Kluyveromyces lactis: one gene and its partner. The protein of the gene in region 2 interacts with the protein of the main gene of each other region in a pairwise test. Links are inferred from orthologs where the notes say so. Each region holds a gene or a part of one and is shown on either strand. Other genes may lie near its edges.

Region 1 (3,471 bases), on a different chromosome or scaffold from region 2:
TTCTCAGAACTTGATAGAAATGACTATAACTCGAGATTGAAAACGATGCTTTTGGGAATAAAAGACTCAGTACTTTCTGGAATCAAGAACTGTTACGGTAATGAAGCATTTAGTGGTTGGAGAATCCAATCATTGACTTTAAAGGCTAAGGGGATTGATGGACCACACGACATCACAACATTTGGTCGTGTGCCAGAGGCATTGTCTAGATCTGTCAATAACTTGCTTGAAAAATTCCATCAATCATTCTTCTTTTATCTTCTACTAGCACCTCGGTATTTTATATCAATCGGGACTTATTTGGCGACTGCGGTGGCTGTCTCGGTGGCCTTTGTATTCGCAGCATTAAATCAAATTTTGAATAACAAATATGGTGAACTTCCGTTGCTGTCTATATACAACATTTGGTCAATTCTAACATTCTGCATTTCTTTGGTATTTGCCTTTGCTACTTCGCAACTATTCGTTTATTTCCCTCTACCTCGAGTCCTTTTGGGACTCAGTGGTATATTTTCGGTGCTTCCGCTGCTTTCGAGAACTAGACTAAGAATCCAAGAACCTTTCTCATACAGATTTAAAGCTTTCGCATACATCTATATGGCCATTGTTTTGACTTCTCTATTAGTATTGAATTTCTCACTTGCGATTGTGATGGGCTTGCTTGCATTCCCAATGACAAGAACTACGACAATTATCGAGAGTAATCTAAGGCTGTCGATAAAAAACCTTGTCTTGCTTATAATATCCAATCCTTTCATTGCAACTTGGGCAGTGGTGAACTTCGTGGAACCAAGATTATCTGGTTTCAAGGTTTTTTACGCCCTTATTGAAGCTTCGCAACAGTTGGGGTGTTGGACATGGTACATCATTTGCTTAGGATGGTATCCGAGCTGGTTACTAGTAACGTATGCTAGTATTGATGCCATTGAAGTGCAGACGCCCATAAAAAAAGAATAAACGTCTATATTTTAGCAACAAGTGTTATATAAAAACAAAAACTACTCATCAGCAAAAGGGGCCCGCTTATTATCATCGTGTGTACATATATGTAATTGCTCATATATACTGAGAAGCTTTTTACCATGCTTATTATGTTTAGAGTATGATCGAGATCAATTTGTTAATGCTAAGCAAAACCGAAAAAAAAAAGTTTGTAACGGGTTCTTTCATCAGCTTCAGCGTTTAAAGTAACCATTCTCAACCTAATGAAGCATAGCCTGGTTGTTCCAATCTCTGCAGTGACTATATAAGATATTGTTCAGAATAAGGTAATTTGTTCTTCGTATCATTTCAAGGTATGAATATTAGTGATACTGCTGATAAAACTACCAACAAAGAGAAGTCTGGGACAACCGATGAGATGACATCGGAGAAAGATAAACTTTTGGGAATCAGAAGTCCGGAAGGCGAAGTAGCTTTGTACCCTGCTAGTGCTAGTACAGAATCTACTGAACCTGATTTTAAATTTGTTCTGCCTGTCAAAGGTTTTGATTTAGGAAGCTTTTGCGGAGAATTGGATCAAGACATGTTAATTGAAGGTAGATTACAACTGGAAAAAGAGATTAACACCGTTAAAGGTCAACTAACACAACCAATATACGACTTACTGCACTCTGATGCCTTAACCAAAGAGAATCTACTCAGAGCCAGTGATAAAGTTACTAACTCTACTGTGGAGAATAAATTCGTATTGCTAAAGAGACGCTACTACGTTCAAGAGAATTTACTACACGATGTGAAGCGTAAAGATTTAGTAGTATATGAGCCAAATGAGCTATTCGACTTAATAATGTCTGTTCATGTACTGAATTCACATGTTTCGTCTAAGGGAATCTACAATGAACTTTCGACCTTCTACGCAAACGTCACTCAATCGTTCTGTAAGTTAGTGACATCGTTTTGTTCTAAATGTAATGAAAGTGGGAACAAGATAAGCTATAAAAAATTTAAACACGAGAATATACATGCAAATCTAATTCCATTGGGTAGGTGTCATGTTGAAATCTTTGCACCTTTTGATTCGGCCTATCAAGGGAACGACAACACGGACGAGTTAAAAATTGAAGGAAAATATCCATTTGTTCTGTATTGTAGGGATTATTACTCAAGGTATGTCTGGTTAGAACCCTTGAAAAGTGTTACCTTATCTGATCTATTGCCAGTGATGACAAAATTATTGTTTTCCATGATTAGGATGCCCATCTTTATCGACACATGTACTTTGGATAGACAGGATATGTTCGATGTTTGTGAGAATATTGCAAGAATATACAAAATTAAGATCGGACTCGGAATGAACAGCTCTACCAGCTTTCAGAAAACTGGAATCAAAAGAATGAAATCGTTATTCCTCCAACATAAGGAAGAATGTTTACATGATTGGAACATGTGTTTAAAGTTGGTTGTTTCGAGACTAAACCAAAATTATTCAGACAGAGTTCGTGGTGTTCCAAGCGATTTACTATGTTCAACACAACAAGATTTACATAAGAAGTTCAGGACGTTACAAAGAAATGTCATCTCTAGACTGCTGGGGCATCATGTTGTTCAATTTGAAGAAGCTGGTGGAATGATTTACCTTGAAGATGAAAATAGCCCAAATCTACTTCTTTCCGGAGATGACAATAGTGAGGAATCAGAGCATGATTCAGAAATATTCGATGAGCTGGCCTCTTCTCGAGATGGTACTCCAATTTCTGAACAACCTTCACCACACCGAACGAACATGAATTATGATGGGATAAATCAAGAATCGGAGAAACACAGGATAACAAAAAAGAGATCTAAAAAGGTGAGACGTCCTTTAGATCAAGACAAGCATGCTACGCGAGCGTCCGTATACAACCCGTATAACATTGCTGACGTTTCTATGGAGCTATGATGGTATGTTTTTTTAGAGTAACCGTAATACAATTATAAAAATTCTTCATAAAAGAATACTTGATGATAGATATTTAGATTTAATGTAATTTATACCAAAATTTTTGATTAAAGTTCAAATTAAAGAAGTTGCGATTTATGTTGGCCCGTCCAAAGCGGGAAAATTGAAATAAAAGTGACAAACGAATGGTTTATAAGCCGGTCAAATATTAAATGCAAGTTAATACAGCCAATTCGTATGTGTTGCTTGATCATGATTCGTAACTATTTTTGAAATTTTTTAGAATGAATTGAAGTGGATGATGAAGCATGCTCAGGCATACCCAGAACCTAATCACGGTACTTGTCAAAGAAGGCCTTGTGGAATTTTTCCCATGTTTCTACCCATTCGGTCCCTGGTGGTAGGAATGTGGTTCTTAAGTGATAAGTACCTGGGACTTGTCCGAAACCAGATCCTGGAACGGTGCAAATACCAGTGTTTTCTAGTAATGCTTTACAATAAAATTCATCAGGTTCCATTTCAAGATGCTGAGCTTCCTGGATAACTTTATAAGGAAGATCGAGTTTTGGATATAGGTACATGGCACCTTG
Region 2 (4,366 bases):
GTCTAACTTTGATGCTCTTGATGGAGAGTCAGGTGACTGTACACCAGATTCAGCAGCTTTTTTTGCAGGTGTGCCGTTGGCCGAAGATTCGGTCTCTGCTCTCTCAATTACCTTGGGGGTTATATCTCCATTTTTCTTAGTTTCTTTCGGTCCTTTTTTCGTTGTAGATTCAGCTTTCTTGCGAGCAATCTCCTCTTGTCTCGCTCTTTTGGCAGCTTCTCTTTCAGCTCTCTTTCTTTCTTGCTCCTCTTGTTTTGCTCTTCTAGCAGCTTCTCTGTCGGCCCGTCTTCTTTCCTTCTCTTCCTCTTTCGCTTTTCTGGCTGCTTCTCGCTGTAATCTTCTTTGTTCTGCTTCTTGCTTCTTTTTCAATACGGATGGTGTTATTTTCTTCAGTTTGATGTCTTCGCTATTTTCTTTGTTAAAGGAGGGTTCCGTGTTTTCTTTGTTATTTTGGGATCTTTGGGATAATGTTATATTCTCATTTTCAGCATCACCATCGGAATCCTCTATGAACTCAGGGGAGATATAATCCTTTTTATTCCTAGTAGGGGAAGGCGAAAGCTGGCGATCTATCTTATCATGTAGCTGCATCGAAGGCGACGGCGTCACTTCCTTGGGTGTATCAACAGGCTTCAATGTTATTAGCCTCGAGCTAGTGACTTTGGCAGGCTGGGAAACACTCTTCATTTGGTCGACCTTACTTTCTGATTTCTGTGGATTTTCTGAACCAGCAGCTTTTCCTTCCTCATTTCCTGGTTCATCAGCACTTTCGCTTTCTTCTGAAGAGGATGATGATGAATTAGCTGAATTTGTCTTGTTAAGCTCATTTGTATCCTGAGTTTCCTCAACCGGTACCATAACTGGTCTTAATGGATGCACATTTAGTCTTTTGAGGTTGACTTCATCCATGCTATTATCACTATTTTCTGTTTCAATGTCACTATCTGAAGATGGTTCTTCACTAACGACTGCAGAAGAAGAAGAAGAAGAAGACGAAGACTGCAACGGTCTCCTTGAGGTTCCTGTAGAGATGAATTGGGCTGCTTTTTGAGCAGCCTGTCTTGGGAGCTTTGAAGGTAGGATATTTCTTGGATCAGGTTCACTATTGTCGATATCTTTGTTTAATACCGTAAGATATGGTTTTCTCGATCGTTTATTAATATCATTTTCCTGTAAAGCTCCAGCAGCTCTTCTGAAGGCCGGAGGGACATCGAATTTAGACCCCTTCAATAATTCGAGCAACTCGGATTTCTGGAAACTACCATCCATTCGGTCAGTTGGATGAATGCATACAGTATCATTGGCCTCATTTTCACTTTCTGCATTTTCAGATTCCGATTCACTGAACCCTTCTTTTCTCGTAGTATTGCTTGATAAATGGTTATCAGCTACTAGTTCTGATGCATTTTTAGCTAATTTTTCCACTTTCGCCTCCAAAGAACTTTTCCTCTGTGGTGGAAGGTCAGCTACTTTGACATTCATGCGCTTAGTAGCATCTAGAGGACTTTTCTTTGTCGGAGAACCGTTATCATCGGCAATGGATGAAGGTGCACGACTCTGCACACTAACTGGCAATGGAGCTTTTGAGTTGACTCGGACCGGAACGCTTTCTTTGTCTTCAGTAAATTCTCCTTCAGAGCTAGAGGAATCGTGCTCGTCAGGAATATACTGTTTTTTCATTGGAATTTTAGCTGACTTAGGTGGCAGAAGGCCAGCAGCTGGAGAAGAAAGACCTTCATGCATTGTTCTTTCCATCTCCGAAATCCTGGGTTCGGGAATGCGTAGCATTCCTGAAGTAATCCTTTTATTGGTGACCACCGGAGTAGAATTAATTCTTAACAAATGCTGTGCTTGCTGAGGCATTGCTAAGAAACCTGGTCTATTAGGTGTCTCTATAACGTTCATTGGTTTCATTGGAGTGCCTGATGGTAATCTTTGCTGTTTAGCTTTACTTGGATCGACTGTTTCTGATTTTGACACAGTATCTTCTGAGCCGTTAATTTTCAATCGTTTTTGCGCAATACTTGAACTTATTCTAATTGGAGGGGATTGAGGAACAGTTGGAGGTGGTAAAATGGATTTATCACCTATTTCATCATCCCCATACTCATCCTCTTCATAGTCAGAATTTACTTGTTTCGGATTTCTTTGACTCGGAGGAGGATAAATTTGGTGCGCCAAGGGTGTAGATATCCTCAATGCAGAGTTTTTTAATGCTTGCGGTCTCCTTTTTGCAACTGTTACGGGTTGATCTAATGTTGCACCTGTCGAGGTGTTTTGTTGAGAGTTCCCGTTATTCAACTTTCTTCTCTTGGAAGAGTATAATGATTCTTGCCTATCTGGATTAGATTCTAAGTCAACATCATTTCTTAAGATTACGCGAACTGTATTGTAAACATTGAACACATCTTTTACGACAAAATCAGGATCCAAATCACATTCATCTACATCTTGTAAGGTATCGATTTCTAATTCTGTTGATAAATTGGGGTAAATTTTGTTACATTTGTCTAATATTTCCTGCGAGAGCTGATATAACGTATTTGTTGGTTTCGTAAATATTAAGAATTTTTTGAGTTTCGGTCTTGTGATATGGGAGGTCATAAAACTGGAAAGATACGCTGTATTTGTTGATACATTTGGGTCTAGAGCCCCAATTCCATTCTGAGCCGGAATATTATTCGCTAATTGGGGAGCATTTCCTCCCTGTTGCAGAACCTGTTGTTGGACAGGCAGAATAAACTGAGAGGATTCTGATGATACAGAAGGTAAACCAAAATTGAAACTTCTATTAGCGCCCGCAGGCACCAACACAACTTGCAACTTAAACATTGCAAGAAAACGATCACACCTGTTTGAGTTTATAAAAATACTCTTGCGACCAGTTCAATGGAGTTGATTTCAAATTGTAACCCCAAGGACACTGCCGATAGATACAACTGTCTCGACTATTTGTTTTTGTTTTGTTCTTTGTTGATATAATTTGGTTCTCTTCATTTATGAAATGTTCAACTTTAAAATAGATAGAGGTTTTGACAGAAATGCCGCCTTCGTTTAATATGATTTGAGAAGCTAAGCGCTATTGTATTATGTACATAAGGCAAACACGTAAATATGTTAATGGTTAGTGAATAATGATATGGAGAAGACCGCAACCTGAGGGCCTGTCATTCCTAACATCAGAGATTTTAAGTAAGATTCCTTTTTTGATGGTATCGTTTATTTTCTTTTTGTATATTTTAAATATAGATGTTAATGTATCAAATAGATGAGAGCAACTTCGTCTTGAGATATCTGCATTCAGTTGGGGGGTACAAAAGAGGCGCACTGAACCTAACAATTCGAGATCGACAAATTTGAGTAATAGAATTTTTATTTTTAGTTGATAGACATTCCGTTCCCCTTCCTAGCAGGTTTATGGACCTGTCCGGCAGGTGTTTTTTTATTCTTTGCAAATGACGGCAACCTCAATGATCTCGTAGAAGGTTGTCTTTCCGTGTCATAGGTCTCGAAATTCTCAGCCATGGATTGGAAGAAAGTGTTGAAGTTTGATTGAAGTTGGGTTGATGGCATATGTGTGTAATCAGACTGAAACGTTATATTTTTATTAGCTTTAGTGGAAGCGGAAGGAGGAGATGAAACTGGGCTGTTGTCCTGATGGACTTTAACATCATACGATAGAAGGGTAGAGCCAAGCTCTCTTTTATTAAGGTCAACCATAGATCTAAGCAGAGAAAGAGCCATTGATGTTTTAAGCTCATAAGGATCAATTGGTTTCTTCAACTCTCTGGCTTCAAAAAATATCATAAGGTCAGTGGCAATAGAGTCCCAATCGATCTTCATGGTATCCCTAATGTTGAACTCTTTAAGTAGGTTTCTGACCATGAAGATATGCTGTGAGTCTTTCAATGCTTCAACTAGACGATCAGGTAAGTCCGTTAACGTATTACTGCCGTATAAAGTTGCTATTGCAGAACTCAACTTCCATTCTGAACGTGATTTCCATAAAGAATACGTATCTTCAGCGACGCAATATTCTAAAATGTAAAACGGCTTGTCATGATCGTCAGTATCATCACTATGCGAATTGGACTTTATCTTTAAGTTTCCTGTAATTGTTTCCACAGCTCTTAGTTGCAGCTGAAACACATCTTGCATCCTATGTAAATACCTTATTATCTCTTCAATTCGCGGCACGTTCTTGATTTTGGTAAGCTCGACTTTCGGCTTATTTTCACCAGCATAAACGTATATCTTATCCATTTCTCCCAATGACTCCAGTCTATTGTTATCTTCGAGTGCCACCTACAGTTATTCACCTAATTGATTACTCTCTTCTTTTTGATTACGTGTCTGTAGTGGGTTC

The links. The genes of interacting proteins can lie anywhere in the genome.
Region 1: the proteins of KLLA0_C09394g (region 2) and FOB1 interact in a two-hybrid assay, tested with the Saccharomyces cerevisiae proteins (2 studies listed by BioGRID). The link is inferred for Kluyveromyces lactis from reciprocal best matches to the Saccharomyces cerevisiae genes NET1 and FOB1.

What each region holds. Positions count from the first base shown.
Region 1 is NC_006042.1:1,772,030-1,775,500, forward strand, and holds FOB1 (replication fork barrier binding protein FOB1), read left to right. Parts: upstream 1-1,297; coding exon 1,298-2,881; downstream 2,882-3,471. Other genes in the region: GPI-anchor transamidase subunit GAA1, read left to right, coding at 1-957; KLLA0_F19162g (uncharacterized protein), read right to left, coding at 3,211-3,471.
Region 2 is NC_006039.1:816,391-820,756, reverse strand, and holds the start of KLLA0_C09394g (uncharacterized protein), read right to left. Parts: upstream 2,833-4,366; coding exon 1-2,832. Other genes in the region: chromatin-associated RNAPIII regulator FPT1, read right to left, coding at 3,379-4,263. UniProt on the Saccharomyces cerevisiae protein: Has a role in chromosome maintenance and is involved in mitotic exit. Inhibits the action of CDC14 by sequestering it in the nucleolus. Also binds to RNA polymerase I and stimulates rRNA synthesis.